2 linked regions of the Anolis sagrei genome follow. The protein of the gene in region 1 interacts with the protein of each later gene in a biochemical or structural test. Links are inferred from orthologs where the notes say so. Each region holds a gene or a part of one and is shown on either strand. Other genes may lie near its edges.

Evidence for each region.
Region 2: the proteins of FERMT2 (region 1) and ILK form a complex in vitro, tested with the Homo sapiens proteins (2 studies listed by BioGRID). The link is inferred for Anolis sagrei from reciprocal best matches to the Homo sapiens genes FERMT2 and ILK.

What each region holds. Positions count from the first base shown.
Region 1 is NC_090021.1:339,284,261-339,296,301, forward strand, and holds the start of FERMT2 (fermitin family homolog 2), read right to left. Parts: upstream 4,305-12,041; 5' UTR 4,235-4,304; intron 1-4,234. UniProt on the Homo sapiens protein: Scaffolding protein that enhances integrin activation mediated by TLN1 and/or TLN2, but activates integrins only weakly by itself. Binds to membranes enriched in phosphoinositides.
Region 2 is NC_090023.1:1,048,755-1,060,756, reverse strand, and holds the start of ILK (integrin-linked protein kinase), read left to right. Parts: upstream 1-7,463; coding exon 7,464-7,552; intron 7,553-8,622; exon of another isoform or gene 8,623-8,643; intron 8,644-12,002. Other genes in the region: RRP8 (ribosomal RNA-processing protein 8), read right to left, coding at 660-766, 911-1,040, 2,980-3,499, 4,416-4,698, 6,753-6,836. UniProt on the Homo sapiens protein: Scaffold protein which mediates protein-protein interactions during a range of cellular events including focal adhesion assembly, cell adhesion and cell migration.

The sequences.
Region 1 (12,041 bases):
AGAAAGGGAAAGAGAAAGAAGGGTAACACACACGTTCTTCTCCAAGATAATGATGAAAGGGGTGGCCTTCCGACAAGAGCAGCAAACAGAAAACTAGGGCTGCTGAAAACTAAACAGGGCAAACAAACTGAATCCTCAATTTCTGGTGGAACGAATGTAGAAATAGGTGAACTAAAACTGAAAAGAGAGGCCAAGGTGGAAAAAAGAAGCTCCTACAAATGTGCATGTCTGCATATACATGTCTGCACACCCTTAACAGCTTATAATAATTCTGAAGGTAAAGCTGCATTTATTTTCCAAAACATGTATTCAAGCATCAATAGTATCACGATTATTATGATAAGACTCGTGCTGATAAAACTGCAAGAGAAACTTTAAGCGAGCGCGGTTTGACAACGTGAGCGGCACATTGCTGTGCAAGGACAACACCTGACATAAAATGGAATTTGTAAACAATCAAAGTATTATTGTAATGTCTGTTCTTCAACAGACATGCATTTATATAGCTTTCCAATAATCATAATTAATATCAGCTGTTAAAAGCAGACATGGGCCAACTTGGGCCCTCCAGGTGTTTTGGACTTCAACTCCCACAATTCCTAACAGCCTACCAGCAGTTAGGAATTGTAGAAGTTAAAGTCCAAAACACCTGGAGAAAAGGCCCAAGTTGGCCCAGGCCTAATTAAAATCTTCCATATCCCCCAATATATTCCACTAACTATAGGGGGGGGGGCAAGTATGGAGCCCCATCCCCACAAACGGTTCACAGCTCAGAAAGCATAAACACACTGCGCACACTGCACCCATATTCCCTTCATACATCCTGAAGTAAAGGGGGACATAGCTTAAAGGGGGGAGGTTAAAGGTAAAGGTTGTCCCCTGACATTAAGTCCAGTCATGTCTGACTCTGGGGTGTGGTGCTCATCTCCATTTCTAAGCCGAAGAGCCAGCGTTGTCCATAGACACCTCCAAGGTCATGTGGCCGGCATGACTGCATGGAGCGTCGTTACCTTCCCGCCGGAGCAGTACCTACTCACATTTGCATGTTTTCGAACTGCTAGGTTGGCAGAAGCTAGTGCTGACAGTGGACGCTCACGCCGCTCTCCGGAATCGAACCTGCGACCTTTCGGTCAAGAAGCTCAGCAGCTCAGTGCTTTAACCCACTGCGCCACTGGGGGCACCTTAAAGGGGGGAACGGGACCCCAAAAAGCTTTCTCAGATTACAAAGAGTGAAAGCAAGGGGGGGGGGGGAGTCCCAAGATGAAGCTATATATATAATATTCCACAACTTAGGAGAGATAGTAAAGTGAAAGTAAGGGGGGGGGGCACCCTGGCCTAAAATGAGGGAGGGGGATAGTTCATTCCCATATTTATTTATTTACTTTACTTTACTTGTATACCGCAGTTTCTCAGCCCAACAGGCGACTCAACGCAGTTTACAACAAGGATAAAAATCAATCAATGATATACAATTTAAAATCATAAGAGCATAATATACAATATTGACACAACAGTAAACAACACAATGCATCTCATAACTAAAGTCGTGATCCAATTCGTCGTCGATATTCCCCCCACACAATTCCCTAATGTTTGCACATGCATCCCACCGCTTAGAAAGGGATACTCCCCTCATGCATTCTATGGCTGAAGAAAGAGAGACTCCAATCCTCACATACACATCACAGCCTGGAAGGGTGCAAAGTAAATGGGGGGGGGGGGGGTCATTTCATTCCATAGGCTAAAATGGTGGAGACCCCAAATAGGTTTACCAGCTGAGAAAGAGTGAAAGCAAAAGAGAGGGCCCTAAAAGGAATTCCCCCACAAACAATATCCCACAGCTTAGAAGGAGAGAAAATAAAAGGGAAGTGGGGAAAGTAGAGGGGAAACCCCCATATTCATCACATAGAGTTCCCAGCCTAAAATAGTCAATAGCAAAAGTATCTGCTAATAATAATAATACCCGTGTCTCTGAAGCATTTTCTAGGTCCTCCATGACTATTAGTAGTAATAATAATATTAGCTGCCTATCCAAGTCATTTTTAAGATCTTCCATCAATAATAATAATAACAACAGAATAATAATAATAATAATAATAATAATAATAATAATAGAATAATATCTGCCTAACCAATGCATTTTCTATATTCACCATTACAATAATTGATAATGATGATAATAATAAACTTAAGAAAGGGGCAGGGGCTTCCATATTGTCTTCATACATTCCATATCTTAAAAGGGGAGAAAACCCCAAATAGGTTTCCCATCTTAGAGTGAAAGCAAAAAGAGAGGGTCCTAAAATGAATTGGAGGGAGAGAAAGTAAAGGGAAATTAGTTTGGGTTGTTGTGGATTTTTTGGGCTCTATGGCCATGTCTATGGCATTCTCTTCTGACGTTTCGCCTACATCTATGGCAAGAGCTTGTGAGGAGAGGGTCCTGAAATGAATCCCCTCAGAAACAATATTCCACCGTTTAGAAAGAAAGAAAATAAAGGTAAATTAGTTTGGGTTGTTGTAGGTTTTTTGGGCTATATGGACACGTCCTAGAAGCATTCTCTCCTGACGTTTCGCCTACATCTATGGCAAGAGTGAAAGTCAAAGTAGAGGGTCCTAAAATGAACTGGAAGGAGAGAAAGTAAAGGGAAATTAGTTTGGGTTGTTGTAAGTTTTTGGGGCTATATGGCCACCTCCTAGAAGCATTCTCTTCTGACGTTTTGCCTACATCTATGGCAAGTGGTTGTGAGGAGAGGGTCCTGAAATGAATCCTCCCACAAATAATACTCCACAGTTTAGAAGGAGAGAAAATAAAGGGAAATTAGTTTGGGTTGTTGTAGGTTTTTTGGGCTATATGGCCACATTCTAGAAGCATTCTCTCCTGACGTTTCGCCTGCATCTTATGGCAAGAGGTTGTGAGGAAATTAAGTTTTCCCAGCAGAGGAAGAGTGAAAGCAAAGGAGAGGTTCCTAAAATAAATCCCCCACAAATAATATTCCACAGTTTAGAAGGAGAGAAAGTGAAGGGAAATTAGTTTGGGTTGTTGTAGGTTTTTTGGGCTATATGGCCACATTCTAGAAGCATTCTCTCCTGACATTTCGCCTATATCTATGGCAAGAGGTTGTGAGGACATTACATTTTCAAAGTAGAGGGCCCTAAAATGAATTGGAAGGAGAGAAAGTACAGGGAAATTAGCTTGGGTTGTTGTAGGTTTTTTGGGTTGTATGGCCACGTTCTAGAAGCATTCTCTCCTGACGTTTCGCCTACATCTATGGCAAGATGTTAAATCCCCCACAAATAATATTACAAAGTTTAGAAGGCGAGAAAGTAAAGGGGAATTAGTTTGGGTTGTTGTAGGTTTTTTGGGCTATATATGGCCATGCCCTAGAAGCATTCTCTCCTGACGTTTCGCCTATATCTATGGCAAGAGGTTGTGAGGAAATTAAGTTTTCCCAGCAGAGGAAGAAGAGTGAAAGCAATGGAGAGGGTCCTAAAATAAATCCCCCACAAATAACATCCCACAGTTTAGAAGGAGAAAAAGTAAAGGGAAATTAGTTTGGCCACGTTCTAGAAGCATTCTCTCCTGACATTTCGCCTACATGTATGGCAAGAGGTTGTGAGGAGAGGGTCCAGAAATGAATCCCCTCAGAAACAATATTCCACAGTTTAGAAGGAAGGAAATTAAAATAAAAGTGGGGAAAACAATGGAGGAGAAAAAAAACCTATATTCTTCACATACAATTCCCAACCTAGCAAGGTCAATAACAAACATATCCCACTCATTAAAGGGGTGGGGGAGGCTTCCATATTGTCCATATCATAAAAGGGGGGGAAGACCCCAAATAGGTTTCCCATCTTAGAGGGTCCTAAAATGAATTGGAAGGAGAGAAAGGAAAGGGAAAGCAAATAGAGAGTGAAAGCAAAAGGAGAGGGTCCCAAAATGAATTGGAAGAAGGAGAGAAAGTCAAAGGAGGAGCAAAAGGAGGAGTGTATTCCTCTCATTGAGTCCATAGCAGGCCTGGCCCAACTTGGGCCTTCCCTCCAGGGGGTTTGGACTCCAACTCCCACAATTCCTAACAGCCTATCGGCTGTTAGGAATTGTGGGAGTTGGAGTCCAAACCCCCTGGAGGGAAGGCCCAAGTTGGGCCAGGCCTGGAAGGCCTTCAACTCCACACTAGGCCTCATTCCCCTCAGACACACAAACACACAAATCTATCTCCCTCTCCCGCTGTATTACCTCTTCTCGCTTCTCCCTCCAAGCGCTGAATGGAAGGAGAAGCAGGAGAAGAAGAAGGCGGGACCCTCCTCCCTCCCTCCCTTTCTTTCTTTCCTTCTTTCCCTCCCCTTCTCCTCCTCCTTCTTCTCCTCCCCCTTTCCCTCCTCTCCGCCTGAAAGGGAGGGAGGGAGGGAACATCCGGGTCTCCGCGCCTTTCCTCAGAGGGGAGGGGGAGGAGGAGGAGGAAAGAAAGGAAGGAAGGAAGAAAGGGCGGGAAAACTTCCCTGAGGGGAACACAAGCTTGCCCAGTCTCTGCTCTTAAGATAGATGGATAGGTAGATGGATGGATGGATAGATAGATAGATAGATAGATAGATAGATAGATAGATAGATAGGTAGGTAGGTAGGTAGGTAGGTAGGTAGATAGATAGATGCATGAATAGATGGATAGGTAGGTAGGTAGGTGGGTGGGTGGGTGGGTGGATGGATGGATGGATAGATAGATGAATGGATAGATAGATAGATAGATAGATAGATAGATAGGTAGATGGATAGATAGATAGATGGATGGATGGATGGATGGATGGATAGGTAGGTAGATAGATAGATAGATGGATAGGTAGATGGATGGATAGATAGATAGATGGATGGATAGATGGATCAATCGATAGATAGATGGATGGATGGATAGGTAGATAGATGGATAGATAGATGGATGGATGGGTAGATAGATAGATAGATAGATAGATAGATAGATAGATGGATGGATGGATGGATGGATGGATAGGTAGATGGATGGATCGATAGATGGATGGATGGATAGGTAGATAGATATGTAGGTAGGTAGATAGATAGATGGATAGGTAGATAGATGGATGGATGGATGGATAGGTAGATGGATGGATCTTACTTTACTTACTTACTTAGGCGATCCCTCGTTGGACGACTAAGATGGTCTTCCATTATGGATTTCCCTGTGGGTCCGTATGTGGCTGTGGAGCCCTATTCTTGCTCTGCATCTTCTTCCGCAGTGAGGGCATTGGTTTCCAGGTGGAAGGTGGTCCCGGTCGGGGTTGGCTTGACGCGCCTTCCTCCTGGCACGTTTCTCTCTTTCGCCCTCCACTCGTGCCTCCTCAAATTCTGCAGCACTGCTGGTCACAGCTGACCTCCAGCTGGAGCGCTCAAGGGCCAGGGCTTCCCAGTTCTCAGCGTCTATGCCAGAGTTTTTAAGGTTGGGTTTGAGCCCATCTTTCAATCTCTTTTCCTGCCCAACAACATTCCATTTTCCTTTCTTGAGTTCAGAGTAGAGCAACTGCTTTGGGAGACGGTAGTCAGGCATCCGGACAACGTGGCCGGCCCAGCGGAGTTGATGTTGGAGGACCATCGCTTCAATGCTGGTGGTCTTTGCTTCTTCCAGCACGCTGACGTTTGTCCGCTTGTCTTCCCAGGAGATTTGCAGGATTTTCCGGAGGCAGCGCTGATGGAAACGTTCCAGGAGCTGCATGTGACGTCTGTAGACAGTCCACGTCTCACAGGCATAGAGCAGGGTTGGGAGGACAATAGCTTTATAGACAAGCACCTTGGTATCCCTATGGATGTCCCGGTCCTCAAACACTCTCTGCTTCATTCTGGAAAATGCTGCACTTGCAGAGCTCAGGCGGTGTTGTATTTCGGCGTCGATGTTGACTGGTGGAGAGGTGACTGCCAAGGTAGCGGAAATGGTCAACATTTTCTAATGTTACACCATTAAGCTGTATCACTGGCATTGGAGAGGGATTGGCTGGTGACTGCTGGAACAGCACTTTGGTTTTCTCAATGTTCAGCGACAGGCCGAGCTTCTCGTATGCATCTGCGAAGGTGTTTAGAGTGGCTTGTAGATCTTCTTCTGAATGCGCACAGACGACATTGTCATCAGCATACTGGAGTTCTATAACAGCTGTTGTTGTAACCTTGGTTTTGGCTTTCAGTCTGCTGAGGTTGAATAGCTTGCCATCTGTCCGATAGATTATTTCCACTCCGGTGGGAAGCTTCCCATCAACAAGGTGAAGTATCATAGCAATGAAGATGGAGAATAGAGTTGGGGCAATAACACATCCCTGTTTGACACCGGATTCCACTTTAAATGGGTCACTTTGGGAGCCATTGCTGTCCAAGACTGTTGCCATCATGTCATCATGGAGGAGCCGCAGGATGTTCACAAATTTGCTTGGGCACCCGATTTTTTGGAGGATGGTCCAGAGAGCGCTGCGATTCACTGTGTCGAATGCCTTGGCAAGGTCGATGAATGCCATGTACAGAGGTTGGTTTTGTTCTCTGCATTTTTCTTGGAGCTGTCGTGCAGTGAAGATCATATCCACGGTTCCTCTGGAGGGGCGGAAGCCATTCTGAGATTCTGGGAGGGTGTCTTCTGAGAGGGGCAGAAGGCGGTTTGCAAGGATTCTTGCGAGGATTTTCCCAGCGGAGGTTAGAAGGGAGATACCTCGATAGTTTCCACAGTCTGTTCTTTCCCCCTTTTTGAAGATAGATAGATAGGTAGATAGATGCATAGGTAGATAGAAAGATGGATAGGTAGATAGATAGATAAGATAAGATAGATAGATAGATAGATAGATAGATAAGATAGATGGATGGATAGATAGATAAGATAGATAGATAAGATGGATGGATGGATAGATAGATAAGATAGATAAGATGGATGGATGGATGGATAGATAGATAAGATAGATAGATAAGATAGATGGATGGATGGATAGATAGATAAGATAGATAGATAAGATGGATGGATGGATAGATAGATAGATAGGGTAGATAAATAGATGTAGAGATAGATAGATAGATAGATAGATATCTGTGTAGAAGGGGCCTAGAATGGAGAGATAGATAGATGCGGTAGATAGAGAGATAGATAGATAGATGTGTGGAAGATATCCATCCATCCAGATATCCATCCATCACAGATATCCATCCATCCATCTACCGTATCTCTCTCTACATCTATTTATCTATCTACCTACCTACCATATCTATCTATCCATCCATCGATCTATCTACTGTATCTATCTCTACATCTACCTACCTACCTCCCGTATCTATCTATCCATCCATCCATCCATCCATCCATCCATCTATCCTAGGCTCCTTCCACACAGATATCTATCTATCTATTGTAAGGGGCCTAGGATGGATAGATAGATGGAGAGATAGATAGATAGATAGATAGATAGATAGATAGATAGATAGATAGATGTGTGGAAAGAGCCTAGGATAGATGGATGGATAGATAGATACGGTAGGCAGGTAGATAGATAAATAGATGTCGAGATAAATAGATGGATAGATAGATATCTGTGTAGAAGGGGCCTAGAATGGAGAGATAGATAGACGCGGTAGATAGAGAGATAGATAGATAGATAGATGTGTGGAAAGAGCCTAGGATAGATGGATGGATAGATAGATCTGGTAGGCAGGTAGATAGATAAATAGATGTAGAGATAGTTAGATACGGTAGATGGATGGATGGATGGATGGATAGATAGATACGGTAGGTAGGTAGATAGATAAATAGATGTAGAGATAGATACGGTACATGGATGGATGGATAGATAGATATCTGTGTAGAAGTAGCCTAAGATAGATGGGTGGATAGATAGATACGGTAGGCAGGTAGATAGATAAATAGATGTAGAGGTAGATGGATGGGTGGATAGATAGATAGATAGATAGATAGATAGATAGATAGATAGATAGATAGATAGATATCTGTGTGGAAGGGGCCTAGGATGGATAGATAGATGAAGAGATAGATAGACGTGGTAGATATAGAGATAGTTAGATAGATAGATAGATAGATAGATAGATAGATAGATAGATAGATAGATAGATGGATGTGTGGAAAGAGCCTAGGATAGATGGATGGATAGATACGGTAGGTAGGTAGGTAGATGTAGAGATATATACAGTAGATAGATAGATGGATAGATAGATATCTGTGTGGAAGGAGCCTAGGATAGATGGATGGATGGATAGATAGATAGATAGATAGAGTAGGTAGGTAGGTAGGTAGGTAGATAAATAGATGTAGAGATAGATACAGTAGATTGATGGATAGATAGATATCTGTGTGGAAGGAGCCTAGGATAGATAGATAGATACGGTAGCTAGGTAGGTAGGTAGGTAGATAGATAGATAGATAGATAGATAGATAGATAGATAGATAGATAGATAAATAGCTGGCTGTGCAGAAGAGGCCCAGGATAGATAGATAGATGAATGAATGTGCGGAAGGGGCCTAGCATTGATTGACTGATTGATTGATGGCTTTGTGGAAGGGGCCTAGCATAGATAGAAAGATGGCTAGATAGCTGTGTGGAAGGGGCCTAGCATGGATAGATAGCACCCTCCGCTGTACAAGTAAAACCACTCAACAAGTCCTACCACTTTTATATAGGCACACACACACGCACACAACAAAGAAATAATAAGGAAACAAAGGGTCGCTGGGGAGCTTGCTTTGTCCTCCGTTTTCCTCTCGCCTCAGAAGAGTTGGTGTTTCCTTTTTAATTTATAGCTCAGCTTTTATTAGCCTGTATTATTTATTTAGGGCCATCCATCTATATGTTAAACAATCAAATCCGGTGTTCTTTCATGTGATAATAGCAGGGTTTAAATTTTAATTTATAGCCCGGTCTATATTATGATTTCTAGCATTATTGCATTTTTTAATTTGTTGCCATCAATGTATATGGCATTGTACAAGTAAAACAACCAAACGCAGTGGACTCTGCCAAAGACATACCTTCTAAATTATATGTGCGTGTATCTATTATACATATATATATATACACACACACACAGAGGAAGAAAAAAGCCAATGGGATTTTGGCCTGCATCAATAGGAGCATAGTGTCTAGATCTAGGGAAGTAATGCTACCCCCTCTATTCTGCCTTGGTTAGACCACATTATCTGGAATATTGTGTCCAGTTCTGGGCACCACAATTCAAGAGAGATATCGACAAGCTGGAATGTGTCCAGAGGAGAGCGACTAAAATGATCAAGGGTCTGGAGAACAAGCCCTATGAGGAGCGGCTTAACGAGCTGGGCATGTTTAGCCTGAAGAAGAGAAGGCTGAGAGGGGATATGATAGCCATGTATAAATATGTGAGAGGAAGCCACAGGGAGGAGGGAGCAAGCTTGTTTTCTGCTTCCTTGGAGACTAGGACGCAATGGAACAATGGCTTCAAACTACAAGAGAGGAGATTCCATCTGAACATGAGGAAGAACTTCCTGACTGTGAGAGCCGTTCAGCAGTGGAACTCTCTGCCCCGGAGTGTGGTGGAGGCTCCTTCTTTGGAAGCTTTTAAGCAGAGGCTGGATGGCCATTTGTCAGGGGTGATTTGAATGCAACATTCCTGCTTCTTGGCAGAATGGGGTTGGACTGGATGGCCCAGGAGGTCTCTTCCAACTCTTTGATTCTATGATTCTAAGAATAATAAGTGATCAAGGGGCCCATGAAGGGATTGCCTTGTCCTTCGGTTTCCTTGTGCTTTAGAATATACTAGCCATCCCCTGCCACGCATTGCTGTGGCCCAGTCTGGTGATCTGGAAAATAAAGTAATGGTTTCTAATATTTGTAATCCCTTTATGCTTGTGGGTAAACAGTATTCCTTGTTGTTTCTATGCCAATGTTGATGTGGTGATTGTCTAGTTTGCCTACTATGGAACATGCGACATATAATTGTCCTTCTTTAGGGGTCCCTTTCAAATCTATGATACTATATCTCTCTGTGTGTGAATCATATCTATCTATCTATCTATCTATCTATCTATCTATCTATCTATATCTATGGCTGGATGGCTCTTTGTCAGGAGGACTTTGATTACGTTTTCTTGCCCTGATGAAGGGAGTTGGATTGGATGGTCTTAAGTACTTTCTGATGGTCATGGGGGTTTAGTGTGGGAAGTTTGCCCCAATTCTGTCGTTCGTGGGGTTCAGAATGCTCTTTGGTGAACTGTGAATCCCAGTGACTACAACTCCCAAATGTCAAGGTCTATTTCCCCCAAACTCCATCTGTGTTCATATTTGGGCATATTGAGTGCTTGTGCCAACTTTGATCCAGATCCATCATTGTTTGAGTCCACAGTGCTCTCTGGATGTAGGTGAACTACAACTCCCAAACTCAATGTCAATACCCACCAAACCCTTCTAGTGTTGTCTGTTAGTCATGGGAATTCTGGTGCCAATTTTGGTTCAATTCCCTCGTTGGTGGAGTTCAGAATGCTCTTTGATTGTAGGTGAACTATAAATCCCAGCAACTACAACTCCCAAATGACAAATTCATACTTTTTGAGTGATGGTCACTCCTTGTGTTGTGAGACATTTTGTTGCCAAATTTGGTGTGATTTCGTTCATTGGTTCTTTTGTTTTTAAGGAACTCATTATGCACAGAGCATTTAGATATAGATGAAGTTTAAAAAATTTAATATATAGCCCAACTTTAATTATTTTATAATGTTATTTTTGTTATTATTTTTATGCTTAGTATCATCGGTGGCACAATGGGTTAAACCCTTGTGCGGGCAGGACTGAAGACCAACAGGTCACAGATTCAAATCTGGGAAGAGAGTGAATGAGCTCCCTCTGTCAGCTACAGCTCCCCACATGGGGACATGAGAGAAGCCTCCCACAAAAGTGGTAAAACATCAAAACATCCGGGCATCCCCTGGGCAAGTAAAACAACCAAAAGCAATGGTCCTACCTGGAAATTATGTGAAATTATTGATGGCGGTGTTGTTGCATGTTATACCTATCTCTCCTCGTTATGAAACATTATTTAAAATACATATGTTAAAATGTATGAATGAATGAGCAACAACACCACAATGGTTGTGTCAGAAAACCAACAACAGAATGGCACTGTGACGATTGATAGTTTATGTTGCAATCCAGAGCAGGGAACGAGGCCCTAAGATAACTACCCACCACACTTGACTGTGAAAAACAATCATTTTTTATTGAAGAAAAATGGTTACAAAATAAAGGAAAAATGCAAAGTCAAAAGCCACAGCAAAATCAGCAAACATGAATTTAAATGGACAAAGCAAAACCCAAAGCCACACTGTAAAATACTGGAACCTGTTAGCAATCCACTAACCGTACTTGATATCCTAGAAATCTTTCAAGACCATGGCCAGGGAAACCGGGAGAACTGCCAAGGTCTTCATCAATCTGAAACGATGCCTGAACTGAGAAAGTCAGCCCGGCGGAAGGCACTTAAAGCCGAAGAATTGGTCCGTGAACCGCCCCTCTGCTTTGAAGCCGTTATTTGTATTTCTTTTAATCGGGAAGACCTTCGCAAGCTGAGTGATTTGCTTCTGTCTTGCCAAATCTGGCCCCTTCTGTTCTCATTGAAGTTCCCAGGTGCAGAAGGGAGTGAAAGGTCATGGCTTCCCTCTGAAACATTCTCATGAACACTGGTACTTTCATTTTCCAAATCTACAGAAGTTCCTTCCTCACTAATTTCAGGAACATTGGCATTTTCCAAACCTACAGCAGTTTCTTCCTCACTAATTTCAGGAACATTGGCATCAAGAGGTACATTTTCATTAGCATCAGTAAATATACTTTCATTAGCATCAGGAGGAACAAACAGAGAATCAGGTTCAAGTTCAAACTCAGGCTGAACCCCAACAGTTTACATGAATGACCCAGGAGAACAGTTAACGAACCGATCTAAGTCCACGTGGCCTCAGTGTCCTCATGCACAGTTCCTCATCTCATAACAACGCTTGATTAAACCAAGGCTCCAAGTGTGGAAAGGAATGTGCAGT
Region 2 (12,002 bases), on another chromosome or scaffold:
TAGCTTTTGTTGCCCACAAACAACTCAGTTTTCCATTGTTTCATTGCATTTTCAGTGAACTTTCTAATGTTTTCACAAACCCCGATGACATCTAGACATTTGATAATCCAACAATGCGGCAGTGAGTCAAATGCTTTTTTGTAATCAATCCAAGTTGTATAGAGGTTTGTTTTGATGGTGATATTATTATTATTATTATTATTATTATTATTATTATTATTATTATTTGAAACACAACAAGATGTGTCCACAGCAGACAAGATCACTCTGCTGGCTGTTGGATTGGATCACACGTCGGACGCTTCCCAAGTGTCTAGGACTGTGTGATGTATCGGCGAATAATGTGTGCAGATCCCAGTAAGGTGGCTTTCTGCAGATGGTGTTTTTGTCAGTGCTGATTGTGTTTAAGTGCAGGCCAAGGTCTTGAGGCACTGCGCCCAGTGTGCCGATCACCACTGGGACCATCTTTACTGGCTTGTACCAGAGTCTTTGTATTATTATTATTATTATTGGTCCATTGCGTCCTGGTCTCCAGGGCAGCAGAAAATAAGCCTGCTCCCGTCTCCCTAGGACTTTTGCTCACATATTTATACATGGTTATCACGTCTCCACCAATGTTACGAAGTGTGATTATTTTGAAGCCTGCAGCAGACACTCACCCCATGCGCAGCACTCGGCTGGCCTCCGCCAGGATCTCTTGCACGTTGGTCCCCATGAGGGCCAAACAGAAGACGGCCACGTCCACCGACTCGTCTTCCAGAGGGACCTGAACGGAGGAAAGAAGAACAAGGCACGCAGGTGAGGGGCAGGGGGCCACCAGCTCATGGGGCCCCATGGGTCTCTCAGGGGAACCGCTTGCCCAAAGGAGCCCCAGCCGCGGCCATCAGTGCCACGGCCCTCCCCTCCGTACCTGGCTCATGTCGCAGACGATGACGCGCGGGTCCAGCGCCTCCAGATCGAAGCAGTGCACCTGGTTCCGGACGCTGCGCGCAAGAGTGCAGTCGCCACAGCCGAAGTCGGCCACCACCAGAGAAGCCGGCCTGGGTTGAGAGGGAGGAGAGAGAGCAGTGGGGTGAGAGCCATGGAATCCTAGTTGAGCTGGAAGAGGCCACAAGGGCTGCCTAGCCAAGTCCCCTTCTGCCAGGCATCCTCTCAACAGACAGCCATTCTATTTAGCTCAGGCACGGGCCAACTTGGGCCCTCCCTCCCTCCCTCCAGGGGTTTTGGACTTCAACTCCCACCATTCCTAACAGCCTCAGGCCCCTTCCTTTTCCCCCTCGGCAGCCTCAGTCATGTTAGCATATCGTTTGGTACCATTTTCCAGACTTCCTTATACCATTCACTAATCTGTATTTTCATTTCCCCTTTCCAATATTTTGCAATTAATAATCTAGCATGCCAATGATATTTTCCCCCTTCTTTTTTAAATTAAAAGTAACATTTCTACGGGAATCCTTCTAATTTTTATAGTTATTTATTTCAAATTGTACAGTCATGCTTTTAATGCCAATTTGCATCTCCTCCAGGAGAGACAGAGTGGAGTATTATTATTATTATTATTAATAATAATAATAATAATAATAATAACGTTCACTCCGATCATCTGGAGAGACCCTGCTCGTGATCCCGCCCGCGTCACAAGCGCGTTTGGTGGGGACACGGGACAGGGCCTTCTCTGTGGTGGCCCCCCGCCTCTGGAATGCCCTCCCGAAAGACCTCAGACAAGCCCCTACATTGGCAGTCTTCAGAAAGAATTTGAAAATCTGGCTGTTCCAATGTGCCTTCTCAGACTAGGAACCCCAGTACCAAATCCCAGAAGCACTTTAGTCAGAACCAAGATCACCGCACACTGCACTTATACTATAACCCCATATCCCTCCGACACATCAGCACTTTTAATCCTGTACCCCCACTCTGGCCGGCCCGGTTTTAATAATGTCTTGTTGTACTACTTTTGTTATTGTTTTGCTTAACTATTTACTTGCTAGGTACTGTTGTATTGTTGTATTGTTGTATCTGTGTGGGCTTCGGCCTGTTGTAAGCCGCATCGAATCCCTTGGGAGATGCTAGCGGGGTACAAATAAAGTTATAATAATAATAATAATCACCCTATTCATATCTGTACACATTATTTGCCAACACATCACACAGTCCTAGACACTTGGGGTAGTGTCTGACATGTGATGATATACAAAAGCCAGCAAAGTGATCTTGTTGGCTTTGGAGTAATAATAATAATAATAATAATAATAATAACAATAATCTTTATTTCTACCCCGCCACCATCTCCCCGCTGGGGACTCGGGTCGGCTTACATGAAGCCAAGCCCAGACAACAAATTACAGCAGAAGAAAACGGAAAACGCAAACAATAAACAACAGCATCATAATTACATAACACATATGAATACATAACAATATAAAATTACAATAAACACAATCACAATGACAATTGTATATTACAATGGGCAGGCTACATGTAATGATTAAAAGAAAACTAATTAAAAACTGATTCAGAACTCGAGCGAGATAAGGAGAAACAGGAGTAATCAAATAATAATCATCATAGAATCCTAGAATCAAAGAGTTGGAAGAGACCTCATGGGCCGTCCAGTCCAACCCCATTCTGCCAAGAAGCAGGAATATTGCATTCAAATCACCCCTGACAGATGGCCATCCAGCCTCTGCTTAAAAGCTTCCAAAGAAGGAGCCTCCACCACACTCCGGGGCAGAGAGTTCCACTGCTGAACGGCTCTCACAGTCAGGAAGTTCTTCCTCATGTTCAGATGGAATCTCCTCTCTTGTAGTTTGAAGCCATTGCTCCCTTGCATCCTAGTCTCCAGGGAAGCAGAAAGGAAGCCTGCTCCCTCCTCCTCCCTGTGGCTTCCTCTCACATATTTATACATGGCTATTATCATCATCATCAACTCCGCAAGTGTCCCCCGAGGGGCACAGGCAAAGGGGGAAGGGGAGTTCTCACCTGTGGCGCAGGTAGCGCACAATGCGCTGGACGGGCTTTTCCGGCCAGTGGTCCATCTGCCGGGCAAATCCCCGGTGGTAGATGGCGAAGGCCTGGGGGTCCTCCTTGAAGAGCTGCCCCGCTTCCTGGCTGGGCCGGCAGTACAGCTGCTGGTTGAGGAAGCGGAAGCGCGCGGCCTCCAGGCGCTCCTCCATGCGCAGCCGCAGGGACGCCCCCCGCCCCCCTTCGGCCTTTGGGAGCGCCGCCACGGCCTCCCCTTCTGACCCCTTTCCCGGGCTGCCAGGGGGCTCTCCTGGGTCTGGGGGCTGGGCTACGTCCGCTGGGGCCCCCCCTGCAGCCGATGCGTCCCCCGGGCTCTTGTACTTGTTCTTCTGCCGACGCTTGTTCTTCTGGCGGTTCCTCCACTGCTTCCTGCTCAGCAGCGGCCCCTTCGGCTCCTCCTTGGTGGCCCCCTCCTCGCTGCCAGGGGTCTTCCTGCAGGTGAAGGGCTCGGTTCTGGGCTCCGAAGGCGCTGCCTCACCTGGGAAGAAAAGCACTCACTGCACTGGGTGCATAAACACTCCTCTCCAGGGAGAGCAACTGGGGACAGAGGGAGCCCTGCAGTGCCTGCCTGCTGCCTTACTTTGGCTCCACTTCCTCAAACTGTCTAGCTCAAGGCAGTTCTCTTTCCTGCCCCACTTGCAAAGGTCAGCTCCCTTCTTCCCAAAAGTCTTTAGTGTGCCTTCCTTGCTCCTTTTGTTTGAGAAGGGAGCGCTGTGAGGCTCCTCTCTGCCTCAAGATGCCCGGCACACAGATATGAACCGAATTTTTATGAATTATTGCCACCTGGCAGATGGCACACAGTGACAAAGACAAGGACAAACAGCTTTTATCCTAGTGCTATCCATGGTTTTGCAATGATGTAGCACTGGGGGCTGTGCAGGGGTGATGGGGGTGTAGAAGGATGGGTGTGTTGTTTTGTAATATAATACTATAATACTAGTAATACAATATTATAATTATATATTTATATTATATGTAATATTACTAATAATATTACAATATAATGGTATAGTGCAATATAGTAATATATAATACTATTGTACTATGCAAATAATATAATATTTTGTATTTAAATATATCTTGCAAGCCACTCTGAGTCCCCTTCAAGGTGAGAATTATTATGCACAAGAATCAAAGTCATTGTTTACCTTTTCTTTGCACCTTGTCAAGGCGTCTTCCTGCACACGTTTCTCCTCTTTATCCCACCATAGACTTATACGTAGGCAGTGCTGGCTCATACTTTGGCCCTCCAGTTGTTTTGGACTACAAGTCCCACAATTCCTCAAACATTTGGAGTTGAAATCCAAAACTCCTGGAGGGAGGGCGGAAGTTGCCTCATGCCTGGGCTACAGTGTTATGTTACTAATGAATGGGGCCTCAGCCCTGCCACCCACCATTGTTGCCCGGCTGCTTCTGCTGGTGGTCGCCCTTCTTCTCGGCTCCCGAGGGGAGGCAGGGCTGCTCCTCCCGCTGCCGTGTCCTCCTGGGCTTCCTCTTCCTCCGCTTCCGCTGGGGCTTCTCCTCTTCCTCCCCGCTGCCTTCCTCATCCTCCTCCCCTTCTGACCCAGAGGAAGTGGGGCTAGGCGGGGCCTTCTGGGCGCCCCCCAAGCCTTCCAGGCGACGAAGCGTGGCCAGGAGGCGGAGGCGCTGGTGGGAGCCGCTCGGGGCTGGGGGGCCCTGCAGGGAGGAAAAACCAAAACATAGACTCATAGAGTTGGAAGAGACCACATGCAGGGGTCAGGAACCTTCGGCCCTCCAGGTGTGGTGGACTTCAACTCCCACAATTCCTTGAGGCTCGGTAAGCCTTTGGGGCGAATGCCGAGCCTCAAGGAATTGTGGGAGTTGAAGTCCACCACACCTGGAGGGCCGAAGGTTCCCCATGCCTGCCACATAGGGTCACCCAAGACTCTGCTTTAGAATCATAGAATCCTAGAGTTGGAAGAGTATAAATATGTGAGGGGAAGACATAGGTAGGAAACAGGATGCTTTCTTTTTGCTGCCCTGGAGACTAGGACACAATGGAGCCATGGCTTCAAACTACAAGAAAGGAGATTCCATCTGAACATGAGGAAGAACTTCCTGACTGTAAGAGCCGTTCAGCAGTGGAACTCTCTGGCCCGGAGAGAGTGTGGTGGAGGCTCCTTCTTTGGATGCTTTTAAACAGAGGCTGGATGTCCTTCTGTCGGGGGTGCTCTAAATGTGATATTCCTGCTTTTTGGCAGAATGGGGTTGGACTGGATGGCCTACAGTCTCTTCCAATTCTACGATTCTATGAGGCAGGCCTTCTGCGCTGCACTTCTGGGATCCCTGGCCTCTACTGGATGTAAATATTTTATGTTATATATATATATATATTTCAAAAACCTGCAAAACAGCGAGTCCGCTAAAAGAGAACCATGAAGTAGCGAGGGAACACCCTACTTTATAGATCGCCCTCTCTCCCCAAAGGGACTCAGGGCAGGTCACAACAAATATCAAAAATAGTAAACATTCAATGCCAGAACACAAATAACTACAGGAAAGGGGGATTCCACCTGAACATTGGGAAGAACTTCCTAACTGTTCTGGTGGAATCCTGTGAGAACTCTTGCTTCAGAGGGAGTGTGGTGGAGGCTCCTTCCTTCTTTGGAGGCTTTGAAGCAGAGGCTGGATGGCCATCTGTTTGGAGGGGTTGGCTCTTCATCACAACAACAATAATAATAGTGCTGGATGACCATCTGTGGCTCATCATCACAACAATAATAATAATTGGAGGGGTTGGCTCATCATCACAATAATAATAATAATAATAATAATAATAATAACTTTATTTGTCCCCTGCTAGCATCTCCCGAAGGGCTCGATGCAGCTTACACAGGCCAAGGCCTCAAAACACCATACAGCAATACAATACCTAAAGCAAATTAAAAACCAGTTAAGTAGAATAAACAACAAGCAATAAACAATACATCAAGACACTATAAAACTGGGCCGGGCCAGAGTCATGGGTACAAGATTAAAAGTGCTGATGTGGCAGGAGGTATGTAGGATTATAGGGCAAGTGCAGTGTGCGGTGTGCAGCGATCTTAGTTCTACTAAAGTGCTTCTGGGACTTGGTATTGGAGATTCCTATTCTGGGAAGGCACATCGGAACAGCCAGGTCTTCAAGTTCTTTCTGAAGATTGCCAATGGAGGGGCCTGTCTAAGATCTTTGGGGAGGGTGTTCCAGAGTTGGGGGGCCACCACAGAAAAGGCCCTGTAACAACATTAGGAAGAACTTCCTGACTGTGAGAGCTGTTCAGCAGTGGAACTCTCTGCCGTGGAGTGTGGTGGAGGCTCCTTCCTTCTTTGGAGGCTTTGAAGCAGAGGCTCGATGGCCATGTGTTTGGAGGGGTTGGCTCATCATCACAATAATAATAATAGTTACAACATGAGGAAGAACTTCCTGACTCTGAGAGCTGTTCAGTGTTGGAACTCTCTGCCCTGGAGTGTGGTGGAGGCTCCTTCCTTCTCTGGAGGCTTTGAAGCCGAGGCTGGATGGCCATCTGTTGGGGGTGTTTTGAACGTGACTGCCCTGGATGGTAGCCAACTGGAGGATTGTAGGATTCTAAGGCCCAAACCAGAGGCTGGATGGCCATCTGTTGGGGGTGTTTTGAACGTGACTGCCCTGGATGGTAGCCAACTCGAGGATGGTAGGATTCTTAGGCCCAGGCCTTAGCCCAAGAGGACCCCCAGCCACCCCTTCTCCTCACCTTGCCCGCCCTCTTGGTTGTCCCCCAGGGCGCCGTCGTCCCCACCGAGGTCCCGCCCTCGTCCCACTCGCCCTCCTCGAACATCTTCCTCCCGGCGGCGGTGGAGCCAGGCAGGAAGGAGGGAAGCCCGGAAGTGGCACGCTGCGGACCGGAAGGAAGGAAGTAAGAAAGGAAGGAAGTTCCGGCGATAGAGAGGGAGAAGGAGAGAGCGCCCCCTGGAGGCCCCCTCCCTCCCTCCGTGCTGCCTTGTGGTAGTAGGAAGGAAGGAAGTTCCGGCGATAGAGAGGGAGACAGAGAGAGAGAGAGAGCGCCCCCTGGAGGCTCCCTCCCTCTCGGCTGCCTTGTGGTAGTAGGAAGGAAGTAAGTTCCGGCGATAGAGAGGGAGAAGGAGAGAGCGCCCCTGGAGGCTGGCTCCCTCCCTCCCTCCCTCCGTGCTGCCTTGTGGTAGTAGGAAGGAAGTCAGTTCCGGCGATAGAGAGGGAGACAGAGAGAGAGAGAGCGCCCCCTGGAGGCTCCCTCCCTCGGTGCGGCCTTGTGGTGGTAGTGATGCTAGTGTGGGCTCCGCCCTTGCAGTCCCTTGTCCGGCCAGGAGGGAGTGGGCGCCGCCCCGGGTGGGAGACCCACGCACAGCCACAGCCACGAAGGAGGGAGAGCTGAGGAGGAGCCTTCCTGCCTGCCTGCCTGCCTTCCTCCCTTCCTTGCAGTCCGGCCATGGACGACATCTTCGCGCAGTGCCGGGAGGGCAACGCCGTGGCCGTGCGGCTCTGGCTGGACAACACCGAGAATGACCTCAACCAAGGGTCAGTCTGATGGGCATCCGGATGGACCTCTCTCCGGAGGGGTTGGGACGGGTCCCGCCATGGCAGGGAGGGAGGAGGGAAAGAGGCAGGCCTGCTGGCCCTCTGCAGGGAGGGGTTAAACGGGGCCCGTGGGGGGTGGGGTGCTCTCCCAATCCAGCATGGAGACAGGCCTCCTTCTGGGACCTTTCAAAGGGGGCTGCTGGCCCTCTCTCCGGAAGGGTTGGCTCCTCATCATCACAACAACAACAACAACAATAGTCTTAGATACTTAATAATAGTCATCATCACAATAATAATAGTAATAGTAGTCCTAGACACTTAATAATACCAATAATAGTCTTAGACACTTAATAATAATAATAATAATAATAATAAGTCTTACACACTTAATAATAATAAGTCTTAGACACAATAATACTAATAATAGTCTTAGACAATAATAATAGTAAGTCTTAGACACTTAATAATAATAATAAGTCTTAGACATTTAATAATAATAAGTCTTAGACACTTAATAATAATAATAATAGTCTTAGACACTTAATAATAATAATAAGTCTTAGACACTTAATAATAATAATAAGTCTTAGATACTTAATAATAATAATAATGTCTTAGACACTTAATAATACTAATAATAGTCTTAGACAATAATAATAATAAGTCTTAGACACTTAATAATAATAATAAGTCTTAGACATTTAATAATAATAAGTCTTAGACACTTAATAATAATAATAATAGTCTTAGACACTTAATAATAATAATAATAAGTCTTAGACACTTAATAATAATAATAGTCTTAGACAATAATAATAATAATAGTCTTAGACATTTAATAATACTAATAATAGTCTTAGACATTTAATAATAATAATAATAAGTCTTAGACACTTAATCATCATCATCATCACAATAGTAATAATAATAATCCTAGACACTGAATCATCATCATCACAATGATAATAATTTTAATAATAATAATAACATTCCTAGACACTTAATAATAATAATCATAATCACAATAATAATCATCATCTTCAGGGGGCGCTCTCTCTCTCCCATAACCATGAGAATGACCTCAACCAAGGGTCAGTCAGACAGTCAGCTCCATGGGCCTCGGGGGGGGGGGGGGGGGGGACCTCTGTCGGGAGGGGTCGGGACGGGTCCCGCCATGGCACAAGGGAGGGAGGGAGGAGGAGGGAAAGAGGCAGAGCTACTGGCCCTCTACCGGGACGGGTTAAACAGGGCCCTGGGGGGGGGGTGCTCTCCCAATCCAGCATGGAGACAGGCCTCCTTCTGGGACCTTTCAAATGGGGCTGGCCCTCTCTCCAGAGGGGTTGGCAATAATAATAATAACAATAGTCCTAGACACGGAATAATAATAATAATCATCATCATCATCACAATAATAATAATAATAATAATAGTAGTAGTAGTCCTAGACACTTAATAATAATCATCATCATCATCATCATCATCACAGTAATTATAATTATAATCTTAGACACTTGGGAGATGTCCGACGTGTGGACTCATCTTGTAGTGCTTCAAATAATAATAATAGTAATAGTCTTTATTTATACTCCGTCACTATCTCCCGACTCAGGGCGGCTAACAATAATAGTAATAATCACAATAATAATAATAATAATAATAATAATAATAATTCTAGACACTTAATAATAATAATCACAATAATAATAGTCCTAGACACTTAATCATCATCATCATCACAATAGTAATAATAATAATAGTACTCCTAGACACTTAATAATAATAATAATAGTCCTATATACTTAATAATAATAATAATAATAATAATAACAGTCTTAGACAATAATAATAATCTTAGACACTTAATACTAATAATAGTCTTAGACACATAGTAATAACAATAATAGTCCTAGATACTTAATAATAATAATAATAACAATAATAGTAGTCCTAGACAATAATAATAATAATAATAGTCTTAGACACTTAATAATAATCATCACAATAATAGTAGTAGTAGTAGTCCTAGACAATTAATAATGTAAATTGCCTACAGCATTCTCGGATGGAGGGCGATTAATAAGTTATTAAATATGATGATGATGATGATGATGATGATGAATAATCATCACAACAATAATAATAATACTCCTAGAAACTTAATAATCATCATCATCATCACAATAATAATAATCCTAGACACTTAATAATAATAATAATCATCATCATGATAATAATAACAATAATAATAATAGTAATAGTCCTAGACACTTGGGAAGTGTCCAACGTGTCATCCAACACAACAGCCAACAGAGTGATCTTGTCTGCTGTGGACTCATCTTACAGCGTTTCTAATAATAATAATAATAATAATAATCTTTATTTAAACCACGCCACCATCTCCCGACTTGGGGCGGCTAACAACAACAACAACAATAATAATAATCTTAGACACATAATAATAATAATAATCCTAGACACTTAATAATAATAATAATCATCATCATGATAATAATAACAATAATAATAATAGTAATAGTCCTAGACACTTGGGAAGTGTCCAACGTGTCATCCAACACAACAGCCAACAGAGTGATCTTGTCTGCTGTGGACTCATCTTACAGCGTTTCTAATAATAATAATAATAATAATAATCTTTATTTAAACCACGCCACCATCTCCCGACTTGGGGCGGCTAACAACAACAACAACAATAATAATAATCTTAGACACATAATAATAATAATAATCCTAGACACTTAATAATAATAATAATCATCATCATGATAATAATAACAATAATAATAATAGTAATAGTCCTAGACACTTGGGAAGTGTCCAACGTGTCATCCAACACAACAGCCAACAGAGTGATCTTGTCTGCTGTGGACTCATCTTACAGCGTTTCTAATAATAATAATAATAATAATAATCTTTATTTAAACCACGCCACCATCTCCCGACTTGGGGCGGCTAACAACAACAACAACAATAATAATAATCTTAGACACATAATAATAATAATAATCCTAGACACTTGGGAGATGTCTGACATGTGACCCAATACAACAGCCAGCAGTGATCTTGTCAGCAGTGGACTCATCTTATTGTGTTTCAAATAATAATAATAATAATAATAATAATAATAATAATAATAATCTTTATTTATACCCTGCCACCATCTTCCAACTCGTGGTGGCTAACAATAATAGTAATCATAATCATAATAATCCTAGACACTTAATAATAATAATCATCAACACAGTAATAATAATAATAATAATAATAATAATAACAACAACAATAATAGTCCTACACACTTGGGAAGTGTCCAACGTGTGATCCAATACAACAGGCAGCAGAGTGACCTTGTCTGCTGTGGACTCATCCTGTTGTGTTTCTAATAATAATAATAATAATAATAATAATCTTTATTTATACCCCGCCACCATTTCCCCAAAGGGGACTCGGGACGGCTAATATGAGGCCAAGCGCAAAAATAGCAAAACTACAAAATAAGATATAGAATGCAGACAACAAAAAATTACATCAAAATAAAATACGTACAGTAGCAAAATAGGATAAATAAAACAAATTAACACAATATAAAATTGAACAGAATGGGCAGGCCAAAGGGACGAAGTAAAATGATAAAACCCTGGATGAGGTAGGAAAGAAAATATGGCATTGAGGGGAACCCCAAAAGAATAAACAATCATAACAGTAACATTAGGAAGAACTTCCCGACTGTATGAGAGAGCTGTTCAGCAGTGGAACTCTCTGCCTTGGAGTGTGGTGGAGGCTCCTTCAATGGAGTCTTTGATAGAGAGGCTGGGTGGCCATCTGTCGGGGGGGGGGTGCCTTGAGTGCGATTGTCTTGCTTCTTGGCAGAATGAGGTTGGACTGGATGATGGCCCACCAGGTCTTTTCCAACTCTAGGATTCTATGAGATGGTCATAAGTTGGAGATACCTTGAGATGTTTTAGAGGACCATAAGATGGAAATATCTTGAGATGTTTTAAATGGCCATAAGTTTGAGATATCTTGAGATGTTTTAGATTGCCATAAGTTGGAGATATCTTGAGATGTTTTAGATGACCATAAGATGGAGATACCTTGAGCTGTTTTAGATGACCATAAGATGGAGATACCTTGAGATGTTTTAGATGACCATAAGTTGGAAATACCTTGAGATGTTTTGGATGGCCATAAGTTTAGATGGCCATCTGTCAGGGGTGATTTGAATGCAATATTCCTGCTTCTTGGCAGGGGGTTGGACTGGATGGCCCATGAGGTCTCTTCCAACTCTTTGATTCTATGGCCATAAGTTGGAGATACCTTGAGAAGATGGCCATAAGTTGGAGATACCTTGAGATGTTTTAGATGACCATAAGATGGAGATACCTTGAGATGTTTTAGATGACCATAAGTTGGAGATACCTTGAGATGTTTT